Macaca mulatta: one gene and its partners. The protein of the gene in region 4 purifies or fractionates together with the protein of the main gene of each other region. This does not show direct contact. Links are inferred from orthologs where the notes say so. Each region holds a gene or a part of one and is shown on either strand. Other genes may lie near its edges.

The links.
Region 1: the proteins of BACH1 (region 4) and FAM83D purify together in Homo sapiens (co-immunoprecipitation; 3 studies listed by BioGRID and IntAct, counting the BioPlex papers as one, with this or other methods). This does not show direct contact. The link is inferred for Macaca mulatta from reciprocal best matches to the Homo sapiens genes BACH1 and FAM83D.
Region 2: the proteins of BACH1 (region 4) and XPO1 purify together in Homo sapiens (affinity purification with western blotting; 3 studies listed by BioGRID, with this or other methods). This does not show direct contact. The link is inferred for Macaca mulatta from reciprocal best matches to the Homo sapiens genes BACH1 and XPO1.
Region 3: the proteins of BACH1 (region 4) and MAFK purify together in Homo sapiens (affinity purification with mass spectrometry; 6 studies listed by BioGRID and IntAct, counting the BioPlex papers as one, with this or other methods). This does not show direct contact. The link is inferred for Macaca mulatta from reciprocal best matches to the Homo sapiens genes BACH1 and MAFK.
Region 5: the proteins of BACH1 (region 4) and HMMR purify together in Homo sapiens (affinity purification with mass spectrometry; 6 studies listed by BioGRID and IntAct, counting the BioPlex papers as one, with this or other methods). This does not show direct contact. The link is inferred for Macaca mulatta from reciprocal best matches to the Homo sapiens genes BACH1 and HMMR.
Region 6: the proteins of BACH1 (region 4) and MAFG purify together in Homo sapiens (affinity purification with mass spectrometry; 5 studies listed by BioGRID and IntAct, counting the BioPlex papers as one, with this or other methods). This does not show direct contact. The link is inferred for Macaca mulatta from reciprocal best matches to the Homo sapiens genes BACH1 and MAFG.
Region 7: the proteins of BACH1 (region 4) and MAFF purify together in Homo sapiens (affinity purification with mass spectrometry; 3 studies listed by BioGRID and IntAct, counting the BioPlex papers as one, with this or other methods). This does not show direct contact. The link is inferred for Macaca mulatta from reciprocal best matches to the Homo sapiens genes BACH1 and MAFF.

Annotation. Positions count from the first base shown.
Region 1 is NC_133415.1:91,796,664-91,801,355, reverse strand, and holds the start of FAM83D (protein FAM83D), read right to left. Parts: upstream 3,095-4,692; 5' UTR 3,055-3,094; coding exon 2,392-3,054; intron 1-2,391.
Region 2 is NC_133418.1:63,238,519-63,242,507, reverse strand, and holds part of XPO1 (exportin-1), read right to left. Parts: intron 3,139-3,989; coding exon 2,980-3,138; intron 1,625-2,979; coding exon 1,427-1,624; intron 289-1,426; coding exon 150-288; intron 1-149. UniProt on the Homo sapiens protein: Mediates the nuclear export of cellular proteins (cargos) bearing a leucine-rich nuclear export signal (NES) and of RNAs.
Region 3 is NC_133408.1:35,469,642-35,474,411, reverse strand, and holds the start of MAFK (transcription factor MafK), read right to left. Parts: upstream 3,121-4,770; 5' UTR 2,861-3,120; intron 623-2,860; exon of another isoform or gene 518-622; intron 366-517; exon of another isoform or gene 306-365; intron 187-305; exon of another isoform or gene 1-186. UniProt on the Homo sapiens protein: Since they lack a putative transactivation domain, the small Mafs behave as transcriptional repressors when they dimerize among themselves.
Region 4 is NC_133408.1:18,196,729-18,201,274, forward strand, and holds the start of BACH1 (transcription regulator protein BACH1), read right to left. Parts: upstream 2,925-4,546; 5' UTR 2,879-2,924; intron 2,751-2,878; exon of another isoform or gene 2,066-2,750; intron 1-2,065. UniProt on the Homo sapiens protein: Transcriptional regulator that acts as a repressor or activator, depending on the context. Binds to NF-E2 DNA binding sites. Plays important roles in coordinating transcription activation and repression by MAFK.
Region 5 is NC_133411.1:172,289,575-172,293,563, reverse strand, and holds part of HMMR (hyaluronan mediated motility receptor), read right to left. Parts: intron 2,768-3,989; coding exon 2,579-2,767; intron 1,268-2,578; coding exon 1,181-1,267; intron 1,090-1,180; coding exon 989-1,089; intron 1-988. UniProt on the Homo sapiens protein: Receptor for hyaluronic acid (HA). Involved in cell motility. When hyaluronan binds to HMMR, the phosphorylation of a number of proteins, including PTK2/FAK1 occurs.
Region 6 is NC_133421.1:91,584,299-91,588,933, reverse strand, and holds MAFG (transcription factor MafG), read left to right. Parts: upstream 1-1,699; 5' UTR 1,700-1,879; intron 1,880-2,020; 5' UTR 2,021-2,049; coding exon 2,050-2,085; intron 2,086-2,178; coding exon 2,179-2,631; 3' UTR 2,632-4,095; downstream 4,096-4,635. UniProt on the Homo sapiens protein: Since they lack a putative transactivation domain, the small Mafs behave as transcriptional repressors when they dimerize among themselves.
Region 7 is NC_133415.1:13,278,817-13,281,619, forward strand, and holds part of MAFF (transcription factor MafF), read right to left. Parts: intron 1,187-2,803; 5' UTR 1,156-1,186; coding exon 1,120-1,155; intron 595-1,119; coding exon 136-594; 3' UTR 1-135. UniProt on the Homo sapiens protein: Since they lack a putative transactivation domain, the small Mafs behave as transcriptional repressors when they dimerize among themselves.

The DNA of each region.
Region 1 (4,692 bases), on a different chromosome or scaffold from region 4:
AGCACACTGTCTACCCTCAAGTGTTGGCAAGGTTGATGCCTTCTCCTGTGGCCCCAGGCCTGGTAGTGTCTGATACACAGCAGGCAATGAGTAAGCAAATAATTTGGCATCTATTCGACCTACTGAAAATACTCATTGGATTTTTTTTTTTCCCAAGACGGAGTCGTGCTCTGTCGCCCAGAGCTGGAGTCCAATGGCGCAATCTCGGCTCACTGCAACCTCCACCTCCCAGGTTCAAGCAATTCTCCTGCCTCAGCCTCCCGAGTAACTAGGATTATAGGTGCGTGCCACCACGCCCTGCTAATTTTTGTATTTTTAGTAGAGATGGGGTTTCACCATGTTGGCCAGACTGGTCTCGAACTGCTGACCTCGTGATCCGTCCACCTCAGCCTCCCCAAGTGCTGGGATTACAGGCTTGACCACCGTATCCAGCCAATACTCATCGGATTTAAAGGTAACTTTCTCAGTTTAAACTGCCCACGTTCCAAATATAGCATCTCAGAGGGAACTGTGGGTAGCTAGACTAGGGCAGCAGGTTCTATCTGGAAATGTCAGTATTACAAAACGCCCATGGGATGAGGGAGAGTCTGAGCTCCCGGCTCCATCCCCTCCTCAGGCCAGCACGTGAGTTTAATTTCCCTCTGGCCTCTGGTTCCAGTGCCCCTTTGCTATCACTAAAATTTTGAGATGGGCAAAAGACTAGAACAATCCACAGCTCTCACTATATAGACCAGTTCTTTACATTTTTCAGGTTCCAAGTGCTCAAGTTCTACTGGAGGTGAGCTTTGGGAACGCATACCTACACAAGTCTGCCTTTTCCATCTTTTTAATCTTCTCACTGAACCCGCAAGGAAAATGTCTACTGCATCAAAAAACCCTCAGCCCACCTAAAGCACCTCAGGGCTGGTAAAAGCCTAGCTGCAGCCCACAACCACTCCCTCAAAAGCAAGGCACTAGGTCACTGTATCCACTACCACTGCAACCCCACCATTCAGGGAAAGAATATTAAGAACATTGGTGAGAATTGGGGCTTGGACTTGGACATGTCAACCTGACAATGCACTGGTATCTTCACCCACAGTCAGACACACTCATGTACCAGCCCTCGCAAGTCTTACCATGGCTGGGGCTTTATCTGCCATGTCCCTGGCACAGGCAGACAGCCAGGAAGCCGGGCACTGCCAGTCAGCAAGCAACCTGACCATGGTTCCAGACCAAGGTGTCTGCCACCATACTGTTCTGCCACACCCACATGCAGGCTGCCTTCTTCCTCCTTGATCCCCAACACCCTGCTGCAGCTTCATTGAGGCTGGCAAGCAGACAAGACCTCCACTGCGCCCATGACCATGCCATACTGAGTCAGACAGTAGGACCAAAACAGAAGCCGATCTAATGCAAATGTATCTGCATTTTAGGAGACCACTGCAATCTGGCACAGACCCAGCCTATGGAAAACTCCTTGCCCCTTTCATTCACAACGGCAAATTTCCCCTCCAGTCTCTGGCAGTAGAAAAAGCGGCAGGGGGCCGGGCGCAGTGGCTCACGCCTTAATCCTAGCACTTTGGGAGGCCGAGGAGGGTGGATCACCTGAGGTCAGGAGTTCGAGACCAGCTTGGCCAACATGGCGAAACCCTGTCTCTACTAAAAATACAAAAACTAGCCGGGAGTGGTGGCAGGCGCCTGTAATCCGAGCTACTTGGGAGGCTGAGGCAGGAGAATCACTTGAACCCGGGGACGGAGGTTGCGGTGAACTGAGTTCCCACCACTTCACTCCAGCCTGGGCAAAAGAGTGAGACTCTGTCTCAAAGAAAAAAAAAAAAAAAAGACAAGAAAGAAAAAGCGGCAGGGGTCTCACTTTGCCACTTGTGTTTATCTGCTTTTTACAACATAAGATGCGTGAAAGTAATTAGCAATAATAATTGATTCCTAATGCCCCGTAGTTGTCTCTGGAGACCACCTTCCTGGAACTTTCCCTAGGTAAGTTCTTTGGTAATGAGTCTCCTAAGAAGCTCCTGAAAGTGGGATGTAGCGTTGGCTGACAGCCAGGGAAATCGGCAATTTTCCAAGTTTGATTTCAACTGAAATTTGGAGCTGGGAGTACTTCTGGTCCCTCCTTCAGGGATATGAACGTTAGGAGATGGAACCCGGACACAATTCTTATCCTTGGGAACCGAGGCTTCCCCACTATCCCCTGCCACCAGGAGCGGCCCGGGGGATCCGGGGAAGACACGCAGAGTGGGGTGTGAGTCGGGGACCCCGGGACCCCGTGGCCCGCGCTTCCGGTAGGGAGCTGAGGAGGTAGTCGCCCCGGCCTGTGCTCCCCGCAGGCCTCAATTTCCCATTCTTGAAGGGGGTCTCCCGTGCGACCCAGAGCCCGGGAGGGCCGCTCACCTCTCGCGCCGAGCGGAGCTGCTGGCGCAGAGCGTCCTTGCAGCCGTAGGGGCCGCCCTCGCCCGTGCCGCGGGGCTGGAAGTGGGCCTCGACGCGCGTGGCGCCGCGGTAGGCGCCCTGGTAGAAGGCGGGCCAGCCGAGCTCCAGCAGCGGCGGCTCCAGGTCCGACTGCTCGGGGAAGTAGGTGCCAGACGAGCAGTCATGCGAGGAGCCGAACGAGTCCTCGGCCGCCGCCGCCGCGCCCTCCTCTCCTGGCCTCTCCGCCGCGCGCAGGATGGCGTGCACCTCATCGGGGTTCAGGAAGCGAGCCAGGCGCTCGCGTCGCAGGAAGGCCGCGAAGGCTTCGGGGCCGCCGGCCACCAGCTCCTCCAGAGCCAGGCGCCGTGACTCGCTGAACAGCTCGGCCGGGTTGGGCGGCCCGCACGGAGACAGGCAGGCAGCCGGCAGTTCGTCCAGGCCCTCGCACAGCAGAGCCATAGCGGCACTCGGACGCGACAGCCCTCGGACAAGAACCAGCCTGCAGGCCCACTTTATAGGCAACCTTTGAATCAAACAGGCCCGCGCCATTGGCCGCACCTCCCCGCCTCGACTCTCCCATTGGCTGCATTCCTTCCAATAGCGGAGCGAGGCGGGGCGCAAGCCTCTACGGTTCCGCCCCCTCATGCGTTATTGGCTGCGATGCTGGGGTTGCTAAGCCGAATTTAAACTTGCAGGGGCGAGGCGGGCCGCAGAGCAGGGACAGAGCGGGGAGAGCCGGGCTCCTGGCCATCCCAGGGCGCCCCCTGCCGGCCGCCCCCCAGTGCGGCCCTACAAGGCCAGGGACAGTCAGGCCTAGGCAGTGAGGAGAGGCAGGTGCCGGCTCCCAGACACGTTGGCCACGCTGCTCCTAGGCTCTCAGAGCTTTGGTATGGCCAAACATATCGTCTTTATCCCCTGCCTTTAACCACGTATTCATTCATTAAAAAAATACCGGCTCATCATATTAGGACCGCTCCTTTGCTTACACCCTCGGGTAGTCTTCTCTCATTTCATCAGTTTTTGCCTTGTAAAACTCCAACCAACCCTGGTTGTATCCTACTTTGCACCTGCACCCCGGCAGCCCTACAGGGCTGGAGAAAAAAACAAAAAGAGCATAACCATGCTTACTGACTGGTCATGTTTTACATTCATAATCTGTAAGACTACCTGCTAGGAGGCCGGGCGCGCAGTGGCTCACGCCTGTAGTCCCAGCATTTTAGGAGGCCTAGGAGGGCGGATCACCTGAAGTCAGGAGTTTGAGACCAGCCTGACCAACACGGTGAAACCCCGTCTCTACTAAAAATACGAAAATTAGCCGGGCATCTTGATGTACGCCTGTAATCCCAGATGCTCGGGAGGCTGAGGCAGGAGAATCACTTGAATGCGGGGAGAGGAGGTTGCAGTGAGTCCAGATCACACCACTGCACTCCAGCCTGGGCGACAAGAGCGAAACTCCATCAAAAACAAAACAAAACAAAACAAAACAAAAAAACTGCCTGGTAGGCCACATTTCCCTCATTCTCTCTACCTTTTCCTCTCTGACAGCTTGCCTCCTATGTCACCGAGAACACAGAAGCAGTGAGAAGGGAACGTCCACGTGCGCCCATCTAGTCTACCTTCCTGTCTCCATCGCTGCCCATATACTGGGCATTGATGAACTGCGCCTGTGCCCATCCAACCCCAACCCCTCTGCCTGGGCACTTCCAGCCCCTCTACTACTCACCAGCATCACTCCAGCAACCTTCTTCTTTCTCCTGGAACATCAGCTTCCCTCTTTACTGATTCATTTCTATCAACCTACACGCATGCTGAAATATTTTTCGTCTTAAAACAACCCTCTTTTGACTCTACATTCCTCTAAAGCTCCCCATCTCTCTTCTTACTTTTGCAGCATAAAATCTCAGATGTGGCTGGCCATGGTGACTTGCACCTGTAATCCCAGCACTGTGGGAGGCCAAGGGAAGAGGATCACTTGAGCCCAGGAGTTTGAGACCAGCCTGGGCAACATAGTGAGATCCTGTCTCTACAAAAAAATACAAAAGTCAGCTGGGCATGGTGGTGCGCCTAACTCTTAGTGCATGGCAGTGCTCCTGTTGGTCCCAGCCACTGGGAAGGCTGAGGCAAGGGATCAGTTAAGCCCAGGAGTTTGAGGCTGTAGTGAATTATGATCACACCACTGCACTCCAGCCTGGGTGACAGAGTAAGACCCTGTCTCAAAAAAAAAAAGAAAAGAAAAGAAAAAGAAACCCTCAAACCAGTTGTCTATACCTGCTGTCTCCAGTT
Region 2 (3,989 bases), on a different chromosome or scaffold from region 4:
TTGTTTCAAATGCAAATAATGAGCAAAGAGTTTTACCAATGAATACCATGTTTAGAAAATATTTAGAAACTACAGTACATTTTCTAAAATATATTTCTACCCCAGAATAAATTTATAAAGGTAAAGATTAACAGTATTTATTAACTTACCTAATGTTTCCCTCATATTCTTATACAAATTTATGGAATCTGTATCCTTCATGAATTCTCTCACAACTTCTCCTTGATCATTCTCTACAACCAATACTTCCTCTGGTTTAGCCATTCGACTAACCATTAATAAACGGACCTATATTCAGCAATAAATCAATCAAGAAAAAATCATTAGATCACTGAAATCATTAGTGTAGAAGCTTAGTTAAAAACAAAACCAAAAAAACCCACAGGCCAGCCATGTGAAGGGATTCATGCCTATAATTCTAACTATTCTGGAGGCAATTCTTTCTAGACCTGTTGTGGCCAGGAATTTGAGAGGAGCCTGAGCAACACAGCGACACCCAATCTCTAAAACAATAAAAATACTGGGGCTTAAAGCACAACAGAAAAAACTATGTAAATATAAAGTAAAACTAAAAAATTTAAAATTAGCTGGGGATGGTGGTGCGTGCCTGCAACCAGTTACTTGGGATGCTGACGCAAGAGAATTGCTTCAGCCTAGGATTTCAAGATTGTAGTGAGCTATGACCATGCCACTGCACTCCAACCTGAGCCACAGAGCAAGACCCTGTCTCCAACAGAAGAAAATTTTTCACTGTAATTCTACAAAAATGGCTTTACAATTATTTAAGTGTGTTTTAATGTGATTTTTTTTAAAGCCAACTTTTGTTACAGGAGTTTCCTGTGTCTCACTTCTAGACTCTGGTTCAGTAGATTGGCAGGTGGCCAATGAATTTTGCCTAACAAAATCACAAGCGACGTTGATACTGAGAGAAGGATCACACTCTTGAGAACCAAGGTTCGGCCGGGCGCGGTGGCTCAAGCCTGTAATCCCAGCACTTTGGGAGGCCGAGGCGGGCGGATCACAAGGTCAGGAGATCGAGACCACAGTGAAACCCCGTCTCTACTAAAAATACAAAAAATTAGCCGGGCGCGGTGGCGGGCGCCTGTAGTCCCAGCTACTCAGGAAGCTGAGGCAGGAGAATGGCGGGAACCCGGGAGGCGGAGCTTGCAGTGAGCCGAGATCGCGCGACTGCACTCCAGCCTGGGCGACAGCGTGAGACTCTGTCTCAAAAAAAAAAAAAAAAAAAAAAAAGAGAACCAAGGTTCTAGACTCAATTCCTTTCATGTTCTAGTTTTCCACACTCATGGAGAAGTTGTTGGGCTCTCTTTTCGTAGCTAATTTATTTAGATAGATTAGAAGTATTTGCATTCAGACCTCAAAACCACAGCAAGCAACAGGAAGAACACTCAACCAACCACTCTGTTACCTTGAATAACATGGGCAAATATAGCTGTCTCCTGGGAGGAACATCAAAATGTTGACTTCCAGATAGCAACGGAGAGGCAGATGTAGAGAATGGACTCTCTCTATAGAGTTCAGCAGCCAAATGATTCCAGTATTCAAGACAAATTTTAAAGATTTCAGTTTCTTCTACTTCAGATACCAACAACATATAATGAAGGGCCTACAGAGAAGACCAAAACTATTAAAAAATAATTCTTAAACATTACCAACTTCAAATTGCTTTTCACTTATTACACCTTAAGGGAAAATAAAAATTCATGTTTTATTCATCACAACTCAGATTTCAATACTTATCAGACAGTAAACTCTGGAATAACTCTGCTTCTTCTGACATGCCCTAAAGCACTTCAAAAATCTCTCACATAGTTGTTGATCAATATGTATTTTTATCATGTCTCCTAACGGAATGACATTTATTTAAAAGGCCTTGAGTGCCAATAGGCAAGTGGTATCAACAACACAAATGTACCATTACAGAGGAGAGAACAAACAAAATACGGAATATTCTTACAATGAAAATATTACTCAGCCATGATAAAAAGTGAGGTATTGATACAGGTTACAACATGGAAGAACATTGAAAACACAATGCCAAATAAAAGAAACCAGACACAAAAAGGTCACATGTATGATTTCCTTTATATGGTATAATCAGAATAGATACATCTACAGAGACAGAAACCAAAATAATGGTTGCCAGAAGTTGGGGAGAGAACAAAGGAGAAAGTGACTGTTTTATAGGTAAAGGGTCATCTTTGAGTGATGAAAATGTTTTGGATCTAGGTATTAATGGTGGTATAACATTAATGGTGGTATAACATTAATGGTGATATAATATTAGTATATTCAGTGGTATATACTAATACACCACTGAAGAGTGTGTGTGTGTATATATTTATGTTATATATATATATATATATATATATATATTTTCTTCCTTCAGACAGAATCTTGCTCTGTCACCCAGGCTGGAGTGCAGTACTGTGATCTTGGCTCACTGCAACCTCAGTCTCCTGGGCTCAAGCAATTCTCGTGCCTCAGCCTCCTGAGTAGCTGGGATTACAGGCACGTGACACCACGCCCAGCTAATTTTTTTGTATTTTTAATACAGATGGAGTTTCACCATGTAGGCCAGGTTGGTCTCGAACTCCTGCCTCTGCCTCCCAAAGTGCTGGGATTACACGCTGAATTGTGTATCTTTAAATGAACAAATGTTATTTGAATTAAAAGTGAAATTTTAAAATAAGGTCTTTGGAATTTTAACCTTAGAAATGATATAATAATTAGTAATTTAATTTTGATTATAAATGTTTAGTCCTAGGCTTTATGGAGAACATAAAATCAGAAAACTGGGCTTATGACTGTAATTCGGAATTAAGAATATATATCATGCACAGGTCAAGTATTAAGTAATAAGAAATCTCAAAAGGTACATACATTTTTGAAAAAAGGCACTTTTAAGAGTTATTAGTAGGTAGAGCAGAATTTTAGGAGCAAAGGCTCCACACAGCTTACCTCCATAAGAGTTTCCCTGAGATTTAATCTTTTTTCTATAAGTTGATCATGTTCCTTAAGAAAGGTGCAGAGAAACAAACTGAGATTTTGAATGAAGTTCTGTTCATCATCTTTTCCATTTGAGTACGCAAGTCGAATATTGGTATTTAAAGGAAGCATCTGCAAATTTAAAAAGGGATGATCAGTTTGCATTTCATAAAACAACAAAAGACATTTATATTTTATTATTATTATTTTTGAGACAAGGTCTCACTCTGTCCAGGCTAGAGTGCAGTAGTATGATCACAGCATATTGCGGCCTCCACCTCCTAGGCTCAATCAGTCTCAGCACCTCCCAAATAGCTGGAACCACAGGCATGTGCCATGACACCCAGCTAATTTTTTAAAAAGTTTTTGTAGAGACCGTATCTACAAATCCAGGCTGGTCTTGAACTCCTGGCTCAAGCAATCCTCCCAACTTAGCCTCCCAAAGTGCTGGGATTAAAAGTGTAAGCTACTGCACCCAGCCAACACTATTATTTTTAAGCCCTAAGATCCCAACACCCTTTTGCTAATATTAAACCACATATAGAACTCCTAGGTCCGGTATACCTATTCTTATATCTCTAAGACCTAGATTTTGACTCTTCTCAAATAAATTAAATTGCAACTAGTAAGGCCGCTATCACAGCCTTTACATTTTTTCTAGTATTGGACTTAATCCCTTTCTCACTGACACTGAAAATGTAAAAATAATGAATTAATTCATTCAGATCACAAACACACACAGTAATCTATCTTTCCTTGTTTTCTAAGAGACAGGGACTTGTCCTGTCATCCAGGCTGGAGTGCAGTAGTGTGACGATAGCTCATTTTAACTTTGAACTCATGGGCTCAAGCGATCCTATTGCCTCAGCCTCCAGAGTAGTTGGAACTACAGGTATGCAACACCACAGCTAGCTATTTTTTAAATCTTTTGTAGAGATGGTCTGGTTATGTTGTCCAGGCTGGTCTCGAACTCCTGGCATCAA
Region 3 (4,770 bases), about 17 Mb from region 4:
CTGTCTCTTTTCCTCGTCCACGCTCCAACCGGGCTTGATCCCAGCCCTCAAGCATCTCCCGCCCGAACCCGCAGCACCTGCCCAGGCTCCGGCCTCCAGCTTCTCCAGTGTGGACCACAGCTTTGCCAAAGGGATGCCCTCACCCTGATCCTGGTGCCCCCCACGCAGCCCCACAGGCAGTCAAAAGTTTTGGGGTTCCTCCCAAACCCCGACCCCCTCACCCCAACACCGTTTCAGGTTTCTGATCACCCCCATCTGCAGAGAGCACGTGGCCCCCTGCCCCCCTCAAGCCCTGCTTCTTCCAGAAACGCTCCCCACTGCTCTCCTTGCGTAGGCAAGCACCCTCTACCAAGGCCTGGTTCTAGATCCTTCTGGGGACGGGGCCCTCCCCGTGGTGTGGTGAGCTCCTCGCAAGCAGGGAGCATGTCTTCCCTACACCCCATACGAGCCTCCCACTGTACGAGATGAGCCGGCCCCGCACGGGAGGGCAGCGAGAGGGCAGTCTCCACCCCAATACCTTCCCCAGGACGCCCGACGCGCAGTGCGAACAAGCAGGCAGGTTCTACACCAGACCCCACCGGCCCTTGGGACGGGCCAGCAGACGTCACGGCCTGGGTTTCCTCATCTACAGCGGCCGGTCGGGGTGGGGCGTGTGACCTCTCAGGTTCATTTGTACCTGCTCTAAAACTCTATGATTTTAAGACGACACTCCCAGTTTCCTGAAACTGTAGGAAAGCGGAAACATGACGGAGTCTGTGACTTATAAAAAGCAAAAATAAATAGCGGGGAAAGGTATCTTCCATTCGCGGAGAGCAGGGAGGGTGGGGACGGAGCGGTGAGTCACTGTTTACTGTTGAAAGGCAGCCACACGGAGCCTTCTCCCAGCTGGCCAGATTTCCATTTCCCGTGTGGACTGGACCCGAAACCCAGAAAGTCCACTCCAGAAACCTTTAGACTCAGAAACAGCTGGGACAGGAACAGGCACAACTTCTTCTCGGTCTGGGTGGCAAACAGCTTTGCTGGAGACTGTAAACAAACGCAGCCATCGCCGAGCCCCGTGGGTGAAAGCGCACGCCTTGTAGACAGCAGAGTGGCCCGGAAGACGGTCTCACTTAACAGCGGCCTCCCGGGTGCGCACAAAGGCTGGCGCCCCGACAGCCCCAACCCTTGGTAAACGCTGGCTCCCGGGTTTACCAGCACCTGGGGAATCAATGCTGTAGGGAACCAGCCCCTCAAAGCCCTGGCTCAGCTCAAGGATAAAAGGCAGGAGAAACCTGGTTTGTTTTTCTGCTTTAGTAAATGTCTTATTTTGGAATAATGAAAGGTCTAGTTTTAAAAAGCAGACTCCCTCTCCCAAGGTCAAACTCAGACATTCCTACTGGGTTACCTAAGAAGGGGAGATGTTCTCTTAAACGGCACTGGACGCCCAAATAGGATGTAGGTGTGTCCCAGACACCTGCACAGCCCACCTATGTTCTCCAGACCCCGCCCACAGCTCTTTCAATACTCCACATCTCTGAAGACACTGGGCTTGGAGAAGCTGCACAGGGCATCCCACTCCATGTTGGAGACCCCCTTACAACAACACACTGTGATAGTGAAACCTCAGTGCCAGTAGAGACCTGGCAGCCCACCCTGGAGAATCAGAGGGGTGGGAAGGGCAGTGCCGGAGCCGAACCACAGTGATATCCCCTAGTCCACGGTGTCCCGCAGTGGGGGGCGTTTTGAGTCCCAGGATCGTCCCAAGGCCAGGCACCTGGCCAGAGAGTGGCTGGCTGCCTGTGGGTCACCTGGTGAATGAATGGTGGATCTGATTTCTGCCTCAGCTACAAGAGCCGCCTAAGCAGCAAGAAACAGCATGCTCAGGGATGCAGGACACGGGGAGAGGGACACAGGAGGCCCCGCAAACATGAACACACACGGTGTGAGGGTGAGAATGCAGCACAGGGCCACTGCTGTACCCCAGGGGGACCCAGGTCAAGGGCCAAGGCCAGGCGGGGTCCTGGCTTTCTGGGTTTTTCCGCGGCGCCTCGACCCACCCCCCCAGTATCTTGAGGGTGTGCAAACAGAGACACACACACACACAGCGTCACGAGCACATAACACAGTTTCCTGAACTTGACAAGAGACACAGAAGAACCCACGCAGTGGGAGCGGGAAGAGGCCTGAGCCCCTGCCCCACATGTGAGCAAAGGGACACGCGCCTTGGGGCCCCTGTCACCTGCTCCCCTCCTGCCTCCCCACGGCCTTCCTTCCAGCAACCCTGGCAGGTGGGCGGCTGAAAGCAACACCAGTCCCAGGATCCTGCCTGTAGGGAGACTCGGTTACCCCCACCCCGTCCACGGGCACGCGTGGGCCGCAGCGCCGCCCGTCACCGGGAGGAAGCGAGGGGGGCAGGCCGGGGCCGCACGCGGAAGCCACGCTGGGGCGGAAGGCACGGGGAATCCACGCGCCCGCGCCCTCCCCGCGCCGCCCGCACGTGGCGCCCGCCCCGCCCCCCGCAGGTGTGAAGGCGCGGGCACAATGCGCGCCGCCGACTCGCGTGGACTCCCGTGTTCCCAGGTCTGGGGTCCACGCCCCAGGGCCCCGGGCTTAGGAAGCATGGCCCGGGCGGCACGTGCAGGGCAGAGAGCTTCGCGTCCCGGGGAAGCCCCCTGGGCCTGCGGGGCTGGGCCCAACGGGGCAGGTGCGCGGGCCGCGTAGGGGGCCGCATGGGGGTCTCGGGCCCTGCGCACCCAACCCCGCCACCCTCGGCCCGCGCCCCCGGGCGGCCGTGACTCAGCGGCCAGGTGGCCCCAGCCCCGCGTCCCGGTCTCCGTCCCCGCCGCGGCCCGGTCCCCGCTGCTCCACCGCCCCTCACCTGGCGTCGAGCGGAGGGCGCGGGCGCGCGGCGGCTCCTCGCGGGCACGCGCTGTCCTCGCGCCGGCGCTCACTCTCGCGCTCCCCTCGGCCGCCGCCGCCTGGCGCTCGGGCTCCGACTTCACGAAGAACAACAACTCCCCCCCGCCGCCCGCCGCCACCGCGCCCGCCCGCCCGGCTCCCCAGCATCTGACACCGCTTCCGGGATCCGCGGCGCGCGCGTCACGCCGCCCCGCCCCCCTGGGGCCACGCCCCCTCCCTCCCCCGCGGGCACGCCCTCCTCTCCCGCCCGGGGGTCCGCGGGCCCCGCCCGCACCTGCAATTCCCGCGCTTTGGGAGGCCCGGCGGGAGGATCTCTGTGGGCCAGCAGTTCAAGACCAGTCTGGGCAACATAGCGAAACCTCCCTTCCCCCATTCCCCGTCTCTACAAACATAAAAAACATTAAGGCCAGCTGGGCACAGTGGCTCATGCCTGTAATCCCAGCACGCTGGGAGGTCAAAGCAGGAGGATCGCTTGAGCCCAGGAATTCCAGACCAGCCTGGACAACATAGTGAGACCCCCATCTCTACAAAAAATTACAAAAAGTAGTCGGTCGTGGTGGTATGTGCCTGTAGTCCCAGTTACTCAGGAGGCTGAGGCAGGAGGATGGCTTGAACCTGGAAGGTGGAGGCTGCAGTGAGCCATGATTTCATCACTGCACTCTAGCCTGGGTGACAAGGTGAAACCCTGTCTCAAAAAACAAAACAAAACAAGCAAACCAGCAATGTAAAAATGGGGATAAGCGGCTACTGGTCACAGCTTCTGTGAGTGGGGCCAGCCCCCTTCTAAAGCCCCAGCTGCTGGTTGCCAGGGGGCCACAGCAGGCCCAGGATGGGGTTAGGGCACCACTGGCCCAAGGAGTCCTGTGAGGGATCCTCAGGTGGGAGCAGGTCCCTGAGGGAGCTGCCTCTGCTTCTTGTCGCAGGTGGAGGACAGGCTGGAGTGGGGACCCGTCCAGAGTCCCTCAGAGGGGAGGGTGAGCCCCTTACCAAGCTTCTGGGTCCCCAAGTCCCGCCCTCCTCTGAGCGCTGCGGGAAGAGGAGTCTCAGGCCTGGCCAACCAGGGCACCCACGGCATCTGCCCAGGGTTCTGGGAAGCCTGTTTTCTCGGCTCAGGTGGGACTCGGGAGCCTGTTTCTCGGCTCAGGTGGGACTCAGGAGCAAGGACAGGGAGGTCTGTGCATCTTCTGGGTGTCATCCTTACCACCGCGTGCCTGGGGATTTAGGCAGCCGCCCAGTGGCCTCTTGCTGTGGAGCGAGGGGGCAGCCTCCCGGACCATCTCTGACCCCCACTTCTGACCACCTGGGAGGCGCCTCCTTGCTGAGGCCCACGCTGCCGTCTGGGGTAGCCAGACACAGTGATGCCTGCAACCTGGCTGCAGAAACAGGTGCCAAGAAATAGCAGCAGTAGCGACAATGTCCCACGTCCCCAGGATGTTTGCAGAAAGACATCCCCGGGGGATGGGAAAGCTGCTTCCCTTGTCCCGGCCCACACTTTGCACTTGGGGTTCTGGGATGCGCTGGGAGCCTCCAGAGAAGCTGTGAGCGTCTCCTCTTTACGTTACTCATGGTGTCGCTGCTCTAACCCAACTGCATTCTTTCCATAGTAGGCTTTTGTTACTAATCGCACAGTTATATTATCTTTTTAATTTTTTAATTTGTATTTATTTATTTTTTTATTTTGACACAGAGTCTCACTCTGTCGCCCAGGCTGGAGTGCAGTGGTGCCATCTCAGCTCACTGCAAGCTCCGCCTCCTGGGTTCACGCCATTCTTCTGCCTCAGCCTCCCCAGTAGCTGGGACTACAGGTGCCCACTGCCACGCCCGGCTAATTTTTTTGTATTTTTTAAAATAGAGACGGGGTTTTGCCGT
Region 4 (4,546 bases):
GGAGTGACAGTACAAAGTAATTTTTACAGAATGTGTGATATACATATTACACTCTATATACATACTACACTCCAATGTGTGGATCATCTTCGAGTATTTCCATTGCACCTTTTTACATTTCACTGCACTTCAGATAACAAACATTTAAACAAACCAACCAGTGAGCTTGTCTCCAAATTCAAAATACAGGTTACCAAATGAAATTCTGTATTTTTTGTATTTCCATCCCCAATATCAACAATGTAACAAGAAGTTTACACTCAAACTTCTAATCTTTAAAGTAAAATATACAGACAAGAGAACTACCTATAAAATAAAACTTAAATGGAATATTAAGGACAGTATGAAAGAACTCTTAGGAGGAAACCATAAAAGAACAAGCATTCCGGTTGCTGAAAGAATGTTATTGACAGTGGTTAACAGGCTATGTTCCCCCAACAACAAACGGGTGGAGGGCATGCACGCGCATTATATAATATGAATGCGCTATTGTTAGTCTGTATTTTTAAGTTTAATGTCTTTCTTATATTAAATAGAAGGTTTTAAAAGTTTTAATATAGTGTTTCCACATGAAACTCCTTGTACCCCACCTTAGAGGCCCTAATACTTACAATATTCATAATTTCTAATCTCCTCTAGTCCCAGACATAAAGGAACAAAATAAATATAAAAATTTATATTTATATATAAAAAAGTTTTTCCTAATATAAAATGTTTTAAATAAACTATCATTAATAGGAATCATTTTTTCCACCAAAGGGTCAAATTCCCAGCTCTACATTGCCCATTCCTAAACTTTGTTTGCAATGAGGATTCATAAATATTTGGGCTGTGTGCTCCTTTTTAAAGCAAGAAGCAATGACACCAGGTGTAAAGGCAGTAGTGTCACACAATCAAGACAATGAGACAGGTATTTATGGTTGGCCATTCATTAAACAGCTCTTTCCAGACTTGACCCAATGAGACCTGTTAATTCCACCCATACTGTGCTTACCCTCTTCTGACTCCTGAAACTTCTTGTGTATGCATGAAAAGCCAAGGGTCTTGAGAAACAGCAAGTCCCCTCTGTGTACTCATAACCAAATTTTTATGAAGCACAAATTAAGCTCACTGCTTGAAATGTATAGACCACGTAACAAAAACCACAAAAAGGAAACTAAGTCCAGTAAGAGTAGCAAATATTTTTGTTACAATATTTTTTATTGGGTTACCCCTAGCTGCAAATTTCTTCCCCAGTTTCAGCTCTCTCCAGCGCAAATTTCTTCTCAGACAGCAGGTCACGAGACTCTGGGTTTAAACACCGCCTCAGTGCTATTGGCCACTGCCTAAGAGTGCTCTTCCACTTCACCCACCGATAAACTGGATCAAAACAACCCCAGCTGGGTCCCCTTCAGCCTTCTGAAGCAACCCCTCTAGAGCGCTCCTTGGCCTTTTATAGTGGAGGCATGTGATGAGTATCTGCACCAGCTGTTTCTAATTACCTCTCAAGCTGGGGCGAATGACTCAGCAACCCAACTTTTTAAAGAGTCATCCTACCTTGTTAATCAACCAACATACTGAACAATAGTAAACCACTTGACAGAACCATAGGTTAAACAGCAATACAAGATTCACTACACCAAAGCCACCCTACTCCAAGCTGACTCACCAGGAGCCTTTCTTCCCTAACCTTCCTTAAGATGTCCAAAGGCAGAAGTGGCAAGTGCCTTCAAGCCAAGCCCAGCCCAGCCCAGCCCTTGCACCACTACCCAAAGACCAGGAAGAAGCAAGCCTCTTCCCATTTCTCTGCTTGGCTATGTGAAGCGCTCAAGTGCTCTGCCACTAACACATCTGGGATTTCCACCCTTTATCCTTCTGAACTGCATTCAATACAAACCCTCTGATGTAAAGTGTGTTCAAATATGTGACCAAATTCCCATAGCATCCTCCATGGGTAACAGTCCATACCCCTATACAATTTTCCAAAAAGCAAAGCATCCTACAAAACATTCTTTGTTCCTCCAAGCCTGACACTGTAGCTCGTTTTCCCCATACACGTTCTTTCACAATTACTACTACACTTTACCTGGAATCAAAACAAGTTTAACGCAGAAGCCTCACTCCATAAAAGCATTCCGCACAATTCTACTCAATGACATGAAACTGCCGTGTAAGAATGAGGAAGCAACGGCACTCGTGTTACATTACACGAGCACAAAGCTGGTGTCTCCAGAATCAACGCCCACTCTCACCATATTGTGCGAGGCTTAATTACAACGCGTGGGCAAAACTCCAACAAAGGGAGTCCTGGGATCTCCGGTCCCCAAAACCAGTCTTCGCTAAATCCATCTCAGCACGGTGGCCTTCTCTCCCCAGGCACAAACTCGGCTTTTCTTACGCGATTCCACGCGCGACAGGCACCAGGCTGAGTAGACGCGAGGCTGGGCATAGCGGTGGGAGGCGGCGGAGGACAATACGGGGCCCCAGCCGCGAGGGCGGTGCTGATGTGTCACAGCCCGGACGGGCCGCGGGCGAGGGGCTGGGCTGGCGCCTGAGGGCGGGGAGCGGGGGTGGGGCAGGGACCCCGCGGCCCCTAGTCCCCGCCCGCCCCGGGTAAAGTACGGCGCGCGCGGGTAAACAACAGCTCCTGCCGTGCAGGGGGTTCGGGCGCCAACGGGACGCCCCTTCCGGCGTCGCGGCCACTTCCAGAATCCCGGCCGCCAGCGCCCCCAGCGAGCCCCGCTACGCGCCCCCCGCGCCCCGCCCAGCCCAGAAAGAGCCGCCCCCGGCCCGCCCGCGCCTCCCCCGGACCTGTCCGCGGGCCTCCCCTCACAGGCCCGCGGCCCTGACCGCGCCAACCCTCCCGGAGAAGGGCCGGCGGGACTGCCGAGCCACTCACCGGAGCTGAGGCGCGGCGCGGCCCGACTGACTGCAGCGAGAGCGCCTGGCGGGCGGCGAGGGCAGCGGTCAGGTGACTCACTCCTTCCGCGCGGCCAGCCGCCCCCTCCCTTCTGCGCCGCTCTGCTGCCGCCACCTCGCGGCGCCAAAACCCCGCCCGCCCGCTGGAGGCCCCGCCCCCGCCGCCGAAGCCCCGCCCCGCCGCCCTCGAGACCTCTGGCAGCGAACTAGCTAGCGCAACAGCGCGGGCCGGGGTCGCCGCGGCCGGAAGCCCGCGCAGAGGGATTGCAGGGTCGGGTCGTAAGGGGCGGGGCGGGCCTCGGGGAGGCGGGGGTGGGGTCCCCGGACCTCCGCGCGTGGCACAGCCCGCAGCCTGAACTGACTCCCACTCCAGGACCACCTCTCCTCTCCCTTCTGAGGGCAGAACAGAAAGGCCGAGCTCCTCCTCGCCCCGGGAGCTGCAGGACGCCCTAATTCAGCCGAGTCGTCGCGTGCCCGGGTGCCCGCGGATAGCAGGAGAGAGGACGGGCGCTGGCCCCACAGGGGTCGCTTTACCCCTTGAAGAGCTCCTCGCTGCCTGCCCTGGGGGTGGCGGGCGCCCAGGTTCGCAGGGTACTTGAGCTTGCTGGTTGGGATGTATCAAGTGCGTCCAGGGTTTTCTGGAGCGCGTCTAGCAGTTGCTCTACTTCTTACTGACATGAAACAAGGGCCCCCACGACAGGTGTTCCCTTTTCGCTGTCGCTGCCAGGAAGCTTCCAGCCAGGTTCAGCGCCCAGTGGTGTCAGCCGGCCCATCTCGAGCCTTGGTTCCGCTGTCATCTTCTGGTGCTTATTCTGGTATTTATCCAACTGTCAATTTTGAAATTATGTTCCCAAGCCATTTAACACCTCTGGAGTTCAAAGCAGTGGCTGTCAGCGGAGAGGGATGCACGCGCAGCGAAGGGGACTGTGCACGCCAACCCCACGAGGGTTCCTGCGGAGATGGCACGGACCTTGAGGTCTGTAGCCAAAGGACGATTTGTGTGAAGGGGTTTTACTGTTAGCTTTGGAGCCAGTAACAAGAAGACAGCCGTGGAGTTCCTGGGGCAAAAAGGATACCAAGATAATAATTCAGGTATTATCGCTAACATGACTGCATTTGCACCCACAGGCTGTGGGACTTGAGGACGTTTGAGTTACATCCCAAATACATGAGAAAATCACGTAAGTGAAGTTGGATGGGAGTGCGAGGGGTGAAGTGATACATTATGACCTAGAATTAGGGGAGGCTTCCTGGAGCATTGTGTCTTAACTGGGGAGAGTGGAACCCAGCGGTCTAGATAGGGTCCAGAGGTGGGAGGTACCTCGCATCTCGGGCTGCCTCAGTTCTTGGTGGGAGTGCAGATATTTAGTGAAACATGAGCAAAGGACATTTGGAAATAAACCATGAAAGAAGGATTGAAGTTCTTACAGACACATGAGAGCGCCCGAGGCTTTATTCTCCTTCCACCCTGAGCCAGTGGAATTACAGTCTTTTTTCTACACCTATGCAGTTTTTTCTAGGGGAAGATCAGACCCTCCTCTTTGGGAGGAACTCCTTCTTCTTTAGATAATAGCCGTGACATTTTCTAGCCTGAAAATTATGATGTATGCCCTGACATGTTTAATTATTTGAGAAGCTCTCACAAAGG
Region 5 (3,989 bases), on a different chromosome or scaffold from region 4:
TCTGAGAAATAAAAGCATGTCCATAAAAAAACATAAAACATGTTCACAGCAGTCTTTTCAATGGCAGAAACTGGCAACAGCCCAAATAATGATCAAAAGGAGAGTAAAGAGATGGAGGTATATTCATAGGGTGAACCACTACTCAGAAATAAAATAGGAAAAATTATAGTACACGGAACAGATTGGATGAATCTTGAAAAATTACATCAAACAAAAGAAGCCACACACACACACATGCTCTTTCTCTCTTGCATGTCCTAAAAAAAGGCAAAACTGGACAGGTATAGCGGCCATGTCTCTATCTCCAGCACTCTGGAAGGTCAGGGTGGTATCACTTAAGTCCAGGAGTTTGAGACCAGCCTGAGTAACACAGCAATGCCCCATCTCTAAAATAATAATAATAACAATAATAATGATAATAAATAAAAAAAGGCAAAGCTAATTTATGATGATGTAAGTGAGAAAGTAGTTGTGGGGATGGGGACATGGCACAGGCAGTAGCAGGGAGACAAGAAGGGGTGTGAAAGAACATTCTGAAGGGATGAAAATGTTCTCTATCTTGTTTGGTAATGGTTACATAGGTGTATACAACTGCTAAAGTCACCAAACTGAACACTTACTATCCACACATTTTATTATATGTAAATTAAAGCTCAAAATCAAAGCCTATGATTGTGCATAAATCACAACTTCCTATACCAGTGTTTTTCCGTTTCAATCTAATGACCACTTTCATAAGATCATGAAACCTTTCCTCATCATTAATACAGAAGATGTACAAAAGTAATGCACTCATACAACTTTCTAGCACATGTTTGAGAATGATTAGGGCTCATTCTCATTTAAAAAAAGAAATAGGGCAACTGGAGGGAGGCAATGAGATAAGTACTAAGAGAAGTCTGAAGTCTCAGTAAACAATAATTTGTGAAGAGAGTCAAATCAAGAATTGCTTCCACTTAACAAGTTCTCTTCACATTCAGTCACTTACAGTTTTCCCTCCAGTTGGGCTATTTTCCCCTGAGACTCTTCGAGACTTCTTTGGGTGACCTGCAGCTTCATCTCCATGCCTTCTTGCTTAGCCATCATACCCTACACAACAAAGATACGTGTTTTAGGAAATGAGAAAATTGTACTGATCCCCAGATCCAGACACAGCAAACCTGCCAAAGGCAGCACTCACCCTCATCTTTGTTTCTCTTTTGTTTCTAAGTTTCATCAACTCCAAGCTTAGAATTCTCAAATTCTTCTGGTTACCATTTTCAGAAAACTAAGTACAACAAACACATAAAAAATTCAGAAATATTTTCTGCTAAGATATATTTAAAATACACAAGTATTGATTTTTCTACCTATCACTGGGGTTATGTTTTTGACTGTAATATGCTTTGGTAGAGAGAACAGTCTTTGACCTACACCATAATTACTGATTGATTTTTTTTTTCTTTTGTTTTTAAGAGATCAAGTCTCGCTTCGCTGTCCAGGCTAGAGTGGCGTGGCATGATCATAGCTCACTATAATCTCAAACTCCTGGACTCAATCCTCCTGCCTCATCTTCCTGAGTAGCTAGGATTACTGGTGTGCACCACCACCATGCCTAGCTAATTTTTCAAGTTGTTTATAGAGATGGGGTCTTGATATTTTGCCCAGGCTGGTCTCAAATTCCTGGCCTCAAGCAATTCTCCAGCCCTCAGCCTTCCAAAATGCTGGAAATACAGGCATGAGCCACTGCACCGGTCTACTGTTCTTATCTCTCTTTTCCTTAATATGACTTGCTGGTTTGTTTTGATTTTATTTTTATGAGACAGAGTCTTACTCTGTCACCCAGGCTGGAGTGCCGTGTTGCTCACTGCAACTTCCACTTCCCGGGTTCAAGCGATTCTCATGCCTCAGCCTCCTGAGTAGCTGGAATTACAGGTGTGTGCCACCATACCTGGCTAATTTTTGTATTTTTAGTAAAGATGGGGTTTCGCCATGTTAGGCTAGGCTAGTCTCGAACTCCTGACCTCAAGTGATCCATCCGTCTCAGCTTCCCAAAGTGCTGGGATTACAGGTGTGAGCCACTATGCCTGGCCTGCTGGTTTAGTTTTGAAAGGTTGTTTGGGTGGTCACTTACCTCTGTGTGCTGGAAAGTGCATTGCAAGATTCTAAAGCAAGTCCCTGAGAAAGGATTTCTTGAAACATGTTTGCTTAACAAAATAAATCTGAATTGCCTGGTATACTTTGTTTTGTTTTGTTTTTTTGAGACGGAGTCTCACTCTCCTGCCTAGGCTGGAGTGCAATGGCACCATCTCAGCTCACTGTAATCTCCACCTCCTGGGTTCAAGCGATTCTTCTGCCTCAGTCTCCAGAGTAGCTGAGATTACAGGTGCCCGCCAATGTGCCTCGCTAATTTTTGTATTTTTAGTAGAGACGGGGTTTCTCCACGTTGGTCAGGGTGATCTTGAGCTCCCAACCTCAGGTGATCCACCCGCCTTGGCCTCCCAAAATGCTGGGATTACAGCCGTAAGCCACTGCGCCCAGCCCGAAAAAACATGTTTATATTTATTCAACTGTAAATGTTATCATGAGGCTCAGATACCTTAGATTTTAGTAGTTCATTAGTCCTGGTCAATTCAATAAGTTGTTTCTCCAGTGTAGCATTATTTGCAGAGAGAGACGTTTTTTCCCTGAGTGCAGCGTTCAGCCTTGCTTCCATCTTTTCCAACTCAGTTTCCAGATCCTGGATCCGCCTGTCCTGGGCACCACGTTCCTGTAGAAGAACACGAATCTGGACAAAAACAAGGTGAGAATAAATGATTACGAATAATCACCCCGAAAGTTTCTGGAAAAATCTCTGATTTTGACATTATGCTTGTAGATATTCTAATGTTACTAGCTATCTGAATAATCATATTTACCTATGATGCATCTTAAAAGTCTTAATGCATTTTAAGAACAGAAGAACTTTAGTTGCCATAAATTCCAAGTATAATTAAGCTATTTATTCACTTTTTTTTTTTTTGAGATGGAGTCTTGCTCTGTTGCCCAGGCTGGAGTGTGGTGGCAGCATCTCGGCTCACTACAAGCTCCGCCTCCTGGGTTCAAGCAATTTTCCTGCCTCAGCCTCCCGAGTAGCTGGGACTACAGGCGCCCCCCACCACGCCCGGCAACTTTTTTGTATTTTTAGTAGAGACGGGGTTTTACTGTGTTAGCCAGGATGGCCTCGATCTCCTGACCTCGAGATCCACCCGCGTCAACCTCCCAAAGTGCTGGGATTAGAGGCATGAGCCACTGTGCCCGGCTGCTATTTATTCACGTTTAAGGCATTTCCACCTATAATAGTTATTTTCTGTAGCTTCAATTACACAAATTCAAATTAGCTTAAAATACTAAATGTTTTTTTATTTCAAGAAGGCAGAGCTGGGCTTCTGAGGAGAATGTACTAGGCATTGGCAAGCCATCATTCTTGCTGCTATTACCAGATTTAAAAAACAAAACAAAACAACAAAACCCCCCCAGACCAATATTTGTCCACAGAAAATGTGGAAGCCAAAAGACAATGAAATGAAATGATATTTTTAATGTCATGGGGGGAAACCTGCCACCCTAAAATTCTACACCGAATGAAGTCACTGATATAAATTATTAGTTCTAATCCTGGCTTTACCACTCACTCACCAGCTATCTGACTGAGACTCAGTGATTATTCCTCAGTGATTAAATATCAACCCCTACATGTATCCTCAATAAAATGATAGCTAACATGATTAGAATACATATAAAACAATCAGAGCAACTGAGCAGACATCTACAGTTACTCTGACATACTCTTGGTCAAAAGCCAACATTCGACTGTAATCAAATGAAAGATTTTAATATATCGAAAGAATATATCCATGAGAAAAAGAGTTGGTTAGCAACGGAAACAGAAAAGACGGCAGAGAAGCAAAGTTCACAGTGAGCTGCTTAGCATTGCTAGGAAAGTAAATGGGTTCTTTAGGTCAGTACTG
Region 6 (4,635 bases), on a different chromosome or scaffold from region 4:
AGCAGAGGGTGCGTGACAGGACCCAGCTCTGGCCAGCCTTGAGGGCTGGAGGAGGACTGGGGTTGGGGCAGCTTCTCCTCAGTCCAGCTCCTGGGATCCCTGCATCGTCCCTCTGAGCCCAGCTCCTGAGGCTGTCTCTGCTCTGCGTGTGTCCGTGTATCCGGGTTTGCCAGAGGCCGGGCCAGGAGCCTGGAAGCACTGGCTGTGCTCAGGCCTGCCCCTCCCCCGCCCCAGGCACACCTTTGATTAGGAGGCGATGGGTTGCGCTTGTGCTGAGTTCAGGCCTTCTGCGGAGGGCAGAATCTGTCGAGGAGGCACTTTTCCGTGTGATCTCTTCAGGAAGTCACCGCTGTCATTGTGCTTAGCAGCAGGCGTGGGGGCGATGGGGGTGGGAGAAGCTGGGGCCACGGCAGTGTCTCTGCACCCTGACTCAAGGCTGGGGGCCTGTCTCCTGAGGCAGTGTCCTGCCAGATGTGTAGGAAAGAGCTCCTGTGGGCCTTCTGACCTCCAGCTCAGGTCTTCCCCATCCTTTATTTGGAAGAATCCAGTGGCTGGAGTCTTGGGACCTTGCTTCTGAGCTGGCTTGACTGTGGAGAGGGGTCTCTGGCCTCCCCTCCCTGCTCTGGGCTTGCAGCCTCACGTCCTGGTCCAAGGCTGGGTGAAGTGGAGTCTTGACCCTGGTGAGAGTAAGAAGCCCCCCAGCCCATAATCTCCTGAAATGCTCCTGGCTGCTCTGGAGGAGACTCCCATCTGTCTGCATCAAACCTGGAAAGTGGGGGATGGAGCATGGGGTGGGGTCCATGCCCAAGGGTCTGGTGGGAGCTGGACTGAGCTGGGAATCCCAGATGGGTTTCTGGGATGAGGTGCACAGAAATATCCGTAGCAAGAAAGTGAGAGCGGAGTGCTAGAGGGACCCGAGTGGGTGAGAGTTGATTGTTTAGTCCAGCCTCCCCAGCACTTTTGTTTTTGCTCCCTGACCCTGTGGGAATTGACCCGGGGCAGGGACCAGAGAGCAGGCTGCCACTCGGAGGGGCCGACTCCACCAGCCTTCAGTTGGGCAGGCCCCGGGGTGGCTCACTGTGGGAGCCCTTGTGAAATACCCTGGATGGGGTGGGGCAGGGGCTGCTTCCTGCAACCCAAAGCCACAGGATGGTTACTCCATCAGTGGAGGAGGCAGACTGGGAGGGCCGGAGGGGCCTCGGGCCAGGCTCCTCCCAGCTGATGGCCTGCCACCTGGAAGGTGGGGGAACTCCCTGGTCAGTCCTGCCAACAGACCAAAGCTAGATGGACGGCCCACCCTCAGCTTCTCAAAGTTAGGAGACTGGGAGACTCAGGGTTCCCTACAGCCTCCTCTCTGGGTAGGTCCCCAGTGGGGCCCCTGTGCACCCAGGGAGCAGGGGGCTTTGTCCCAGGCCAGCTCAGGGGAGGTGGTTGTAGGAGGTAGGACCCTGGAAGATGCACGCACAGGGTCACTGGCTGGCCCTCACCTGCTATTGGTCAGGCTGGCCTTTCTGGCCCCCAGCAGCTCGGCTGCGGCTCTCCTGGGGCGCTGTTGGCTGGCGGGCCCAGGGAGTGCGGGCGCGGCGGGGGAGCGGGAGGCAATGTGCTGAGTCAGCGTGACTCGCCAGGAACAGCCGTGCTCTGGGGCAGTGCTGGGGTTATTTTTAAAGCTCCCGGCTTCCTTCTAGGCCTGCCTCTCCCGCGTCTTATTCCTTCTAATCTCTCCCCCGCCCCTTGTCTTGCGCCTGCCTCCCTAACAGCCTTCAGTTCCCCTTCTCCCATCAGACCTTCCTGACCTCCCACCTGGTTCTCTGAGGGTAGGGTGGACAGGAAGCAGCTCAGCCTAGCCTGGGAGAGGCCAAGGGCTGCCTCCGATCAGGTATTGGGGGCTGGGCACCTGGGCTGGGGGCTGGGCACCTGGGCAGCAGGCTGGGGTGGGCTGTGCGGCAAGGGCTCTGTGAACTGGGGTGGGGGGCGAGGGTGGTCTCCAGGGTACTGACCTCTGCTCCATGTCTTGCAGAGAGCGCCTGCTCGCTGTGCCCCCGGGTTATGACGACCCCCAATAAAGGAAACAAGGCCTTGAAGGTGAGTGGGCAGGGACAGGAGCCTTCAGGCCCGGGGTTGGGGGGCACAGTGGGCATGCCCGCTTGGCCTGTGACCCTGTGCCCTGTGCCCCAGGTGAAGCGGGAGCCGGGTGAGAATGGCACCAGCCTGACGGATGAGGAGCTGGTGACCATGTCGGTGCGGGAGCTGAACCAGCACCTGCGTGGCCTGTCCAAGGAGGAGATCGTCCAGCTGAAGCAGCGCCGGCGCACGCTCAAGAACCGCGGCTACGCTGCCAGCTGCCGCGTGAAGCGGGTGACGCAGAAGGAGGAGCTGGAGAAGCAGAAGGCGGAGCTGCAGCAGGAGGTGGAGAAGCTGGCCTCAGAGAACGCCAGCATGAAGCTGGAGCTCGACGCACTGCGCTCCAAGTACGAGGCGCTGCAAACCTTCGCCCGGACGGTGGCCCGCAGCCCCGTGGCGCCCGCCCGGGGCCCCCTTGCCGCCGGCCTGGGGCCCCTCGTCCCAGGCAAGGTGGCCGCCACCAGCGTCATCACAATAGTAAAGTCCAAGACGGATGCCCGATCGTAGGGACGCGCGTCTACCCAGGCGGGTCTTTGCGGGGCCACTAGGCACATGGCGAATTCGGCTGCCCTGTCCCTCTGTTTCCTTCTCTTCTCTTTCCTCCCTCTCTTCCCCGCCCTTCTCTCTTCCCTGCAAAGCACAACCTGTACCCCAGGGGCGCCGGGCTGAGCCCCTTTGATCTCGTCATTGTCGTCGTGTGTTTTGTATGTTGGGATTGGTCAGTTCGGCGGTGACGTGGGGTCGCGCCAACCCCTTTTGTACCAGGGCCATGCAGTCTTGGAGTCCAGAGTTGGTGCTGTGGGAATGGACTTGAGAGAGTTGCGGGAGAGAGAAGGAGAAGGCACGCTGGGCCTCACGTGTCCCCGAGCAGTGAGGGTTCCAGTGTGCCCTCCACTCCCGAGTGGCCACAGGCTTGTGGGCTGGGAAGGATTCACTCTCTTTAGCCCCAGGAGGGCAGCTCAGCTTAGCCCAGCACAAAGAGATGGGCTCTGCTCTGAGAGTAGGGCTGCCTTGAAGGCCCTGATGGGTGGACCACCAGCCTGGGCACAGTGGTGCTGGGGGCGTGCAGTTGGGGCCAAGGGCTGTGCGCTCAGGCCTGACCCGTTGCACTGAACAAGACCAAATCGCTGGCTGTGCACTTACGTGAGGGTGAGTCCAGTGTGCCCTGCGATGGGTCCCGTGTCACTGTTTACATGACCTATTTGTGTGGTTATATAGCCCTTTATTTAAAAGAGAGAAGTTCCTTTTACAAAGTTATTAAATTAATTATATGTTTAAAAGTTAAAGAAAAAAAGAGCTGCAGAGTATTTATAAAACTGTCTTTTAGAAAAAAAAAAAACAAGCAAGAAGACCATTTGACCATATAAATGGAAAAGGGAAGAAAGTATAATAGAAACTTTGCTAGTTAAAAAAAAAAGAAAAAAAAAATCCCTTTCTTGTAAACTTACGGACAACTCTTTGTGGCTGTTGGAGTTTAGTTTTTATATACACAGAGTTATCAGACATTATTTATAAAACTTAGTTTAAAAAAAGACAAAAAAAAAAAAAGCCAAGCCGTGAGCCGACCAGAAGGCCGTCCTCTTTGATATCTTTTGCAATTGTACCGAAAGTGACTTACTCCTCTGCCCTTCCTGCTTCCGTCTCTTGCCGGTGCCGTGGTGTCGTCCGTGCCTGGTGAGGTTTTGTGCAGCGGTAAAGTGCTGGTGCTTCTGGTGACCTTCGACCTGTGGGTGTCACTTCTTGTGTCAGTTTTCCTGTGTTCGTTTTTTGGGTTTCGTTGTGCTTTTGCTTCTGCTGGCTTGCCGGACCTGGGCTGGGGTGCCAGGTGGCACCTGCTGCGTCAGAGCTCAACGAGTCTGTGCCCTCCACCTGCTCCTGGTCCCTAGGAGGTGAGACGTGGGGTTCTGTCACACTCCCCCCCGACTGAGCCTTGGCTACATCTGTGTCTAGGGCTTGGGCTGATCTGGTGGCTGGGTAGCTGAAACTGGGGGCCCCTTGGGGCCCCCCCACACTGCTCTACACCCACCACCTCTGGCCTTGGGTGGTGGTGGTGCAGGGACCAAGGAGTCACTGTGGGTGGCCACAGGGCTGTGGCCAAGCGTTCCCTGGCTGTCTTCCTCAGGCCTCAGTTTTGTTCCGATAGGCTTCATGTGGGGCCTCAGCCGGGGAACCCCCGGGGCCCGCACCGTGGGCTGCAGGTTTCGCCGCCTACTTGATCCCTGAGGTCTTTCCATGCTGCGGGTGGTGCTTCCAGGCAGAGTGGTTGGGGGCCCACCGGGCAACCCTTTCTTCCTTGTCCCTGCCTCACTCAGAGTCTTGGGAGCGTCCACCAGTGCAGACAAGGGCTACAGTCTCCAGGGCCGGTCTTGTCCCTCTTCTCCGCTGGTCCACGCTGGCAGCTCTTGGCTTTGGGCCTGCCTTCTGCCTCCCTTTGGGATCTGTCTTCCAGGGATCAGCTGCTTGGCTTCTGCTGGAGGTGCCTCCCTCTGGGGGCCCAACCTGCCTCCTGCT
Region 7 (2,803 bases), on a different chromosome or scaffold from region 4:
CATGGAGGGAGTGTGTGTGCACCAAGGGGCCAGTGCTGCAGAGAAATGGGGCCTGGGCACAGAGGCGGCGCTCAGGCACTTTGGGGAGGGAGCTGGAGCCGGAGGGGCGTGGCTGGGGCATGGCGGGGGCGGGCACTAGGAGCAGGAGGCCGGGCCGTGGGCGGGGTCCGGTCCGGGGGCGGGGCCAGACCCCGAGCCCGGGGTGGACTTGACGATGGTGATGACGCTGGCTGGCGCCACGAGCGTGGTGGGCCCGCGGGCTGCGGCCACAGAGCGCGCGAAGCCCTGCAGTGCCTCGCACTTGCCGCGCAGCGCGTCGAGCTCCAGGCGCATGGCGGCGTTCTCGCGCGCCAGCTTGTCCACCTCGCGCTCCAGCTCCGACTTCTGCTTCTGCAGCTCCTCCTTTTGGCACACGCGCTTCACGCGGCAGCTGGCGGCGTAGCCGCGGTTTTTGAGTGTGCGGCGCCGCTGCTTGAGCCGTGTCACCTCCTCGGCCGAGAGCCCGCGCAGGTGCCGGTTCAGCTCGCGCACCGACAGCCCCATCAGCGCCTCGTCCGACAGGTGCGGCGTGTTCTCACTCAGCTCTCGCTTGATCTGCGGGCATAGGGAAACTGAGGCCCAGGGACTGGGGACGGTGCACCGCTCCACACCTCGGTGTTCCTCTTTCACTGCCTTAGCCACCGAGGTGGTGGTTGGACTTGATCCAAAACCCTGAAGGGGAGCAGGAATCCGGGAAGGGGAAACCAGGCCAAACTAGGATCCGGACACAAAAGGATGCCACCCCGGGCTCAACCTGAATTCTAACCTAGCGCCAAGCCCTGGACTCAGCCAGAGAAACCCAGCCCGGAAAGCACCTTTGAATGCATCAGGGGGCATTGACTCGATGGGGAAGGAGGATGGAGAGGGAAGTGACCTACCCCAGGGACATGCAGCCCGTGACCAGAGCCCAGGCCTCCTGGTCCCAGCCTGTGGCTGTGGCCCTTCCCTTGGGCATCATGAAGGCCTGGTGCCTGCTGAGCCACCCAGGGGATTCCAGGAAAGAAGGGGAAGTTGGGATGACGAGGCTCTACATGGGCAGGGAGGGAGGGCTTCATGGGTTAACAGAGGCTGCCTCCTTACCTTTAGAGCTTTGCTGGATAGGGGATCCACAGACATGTTTGCAGAAGGTGCCTTCTGGGCCGCAGACCTAGGGTAGAAAGGAGGTCAAAGTCACCTTGTTTTGTTTTTGTTTTCCCATTTAGAATAACATCCAAACTCACTACCTTGCCATTCAAGGCCTCTGCTATCTTAGAACTGATTCATACCTGCCACCTTCCTCTCTCCACATTGCTCCACAGGCCTCCTTGAATGGCTCCTTCCAGCCTCGGGAGCTGTGCACATGCTGTTCTCTTTACTGTTCTAGCTCCCCATGGTGACTCCTCATCATTTAGGTGTTTGCCCAATGTCACCGCCTCAAGAGATCTTCTTTGACCATTCCGGCTAAACGCCTCTTTGTGTCACATCACATAACCCTGCCTATTAACCCTTGTAACAGTCACCTCTTCTGCATTTCTTGTGCTTGGTTCCTCATCTATGATTTGTTTCTCCTTCCCACTCCTCCTCCACCAAAACGGAAGCCCATGAAGGCAGAGGCCTTGCCTGTCTCACCATGGCATCAATATGCCTAAATAAGTGCTTGGTATATAGTAGATGGCCCAGTAAGTGTGCACCAAATGAACAGATGTCCCTCTCCTGACCATTCTTCCACATGGGGCTTGGTCATGTGCCTTTGATTTGATTTTTCAGAACTTTTTTTCTTTTTTTGAGACAGTCTTACTCTGTCGCCCAGGCAGGAATGCAGTCGTGCGATCTCGGCTCACCTCCCGGGTTCAAGTGATTCTCCTGCCTCAGCCTCCCAAGTAGCTGGGATTACAGGTGCCTGTCACCATGCCCAGCTACTTTTTTGTATTTTTAGTAGAGATGGGGTTTTGCCATTTGGCCAGGCTGGTTTTAAACTACTGACCTCAGGTGATACACCCACCTTGGCCTCCCAAAGTGTTGGGATTACAGTGTGAGCCACCGTACTCAGCTGATTTTTCAGAACTTTTCTTAAAGTATAACCTACATTCAGAAAAATACACACAGCATATGTGCACCAGTAAATGCCTTCTTTTTTTTTTTTTTTTTTTTTTTTTTTGAGACAGAGTCTCGCTCTGTCGCCCAGACTGGAGTGCAGTGGCCGGATCTCAGCTCACTGCAAGTTCCGCCTCCTGGGTTTACACCATTCTCCTGCCTTAGCCTCCCAAGTAGCTGGGACTACAGGCGCCCGCCACCTCGCCCGGCTAGTTTTTTTGTATTTTTTTAGTAGAGACGGGGTTTCACCGTGTTAGCCAGGATGGTCTTGATCTCCTGACCTCGTGCGAGGATCCACCCGTCTTGGCCTCCCAAAGTGCTGGGATTACAGGCTTGAACCACCGCACCCTGCCAGTAAATGCCTTTTTACAAAGCCCATCCGGCACCCCATAAGATACAATATCAGCCAGTCCCCTCTCTCCCCAGGCCTCCTTCATCTAGACCTCTGTTTTGGAAAAGCTTTCCCAGCTGCCTGGGGACTGCCCCACACTAACTCAGCATGCCCTAGGCAGATGGGGCAGCCATCCCTAGACCACTGAGGGCCTCTCATCTCCTAATCCCCCCTCCCACACGCCTGACAGCCGCATGCTCCTTCAACAACTATTTATTGAGCAGCTACTCTTTGCCAAACATGTAGTTGGTAATGGGGAGACAAAGGTGAATAAAACTCGTGGAGGGTCAGTGGTCATTG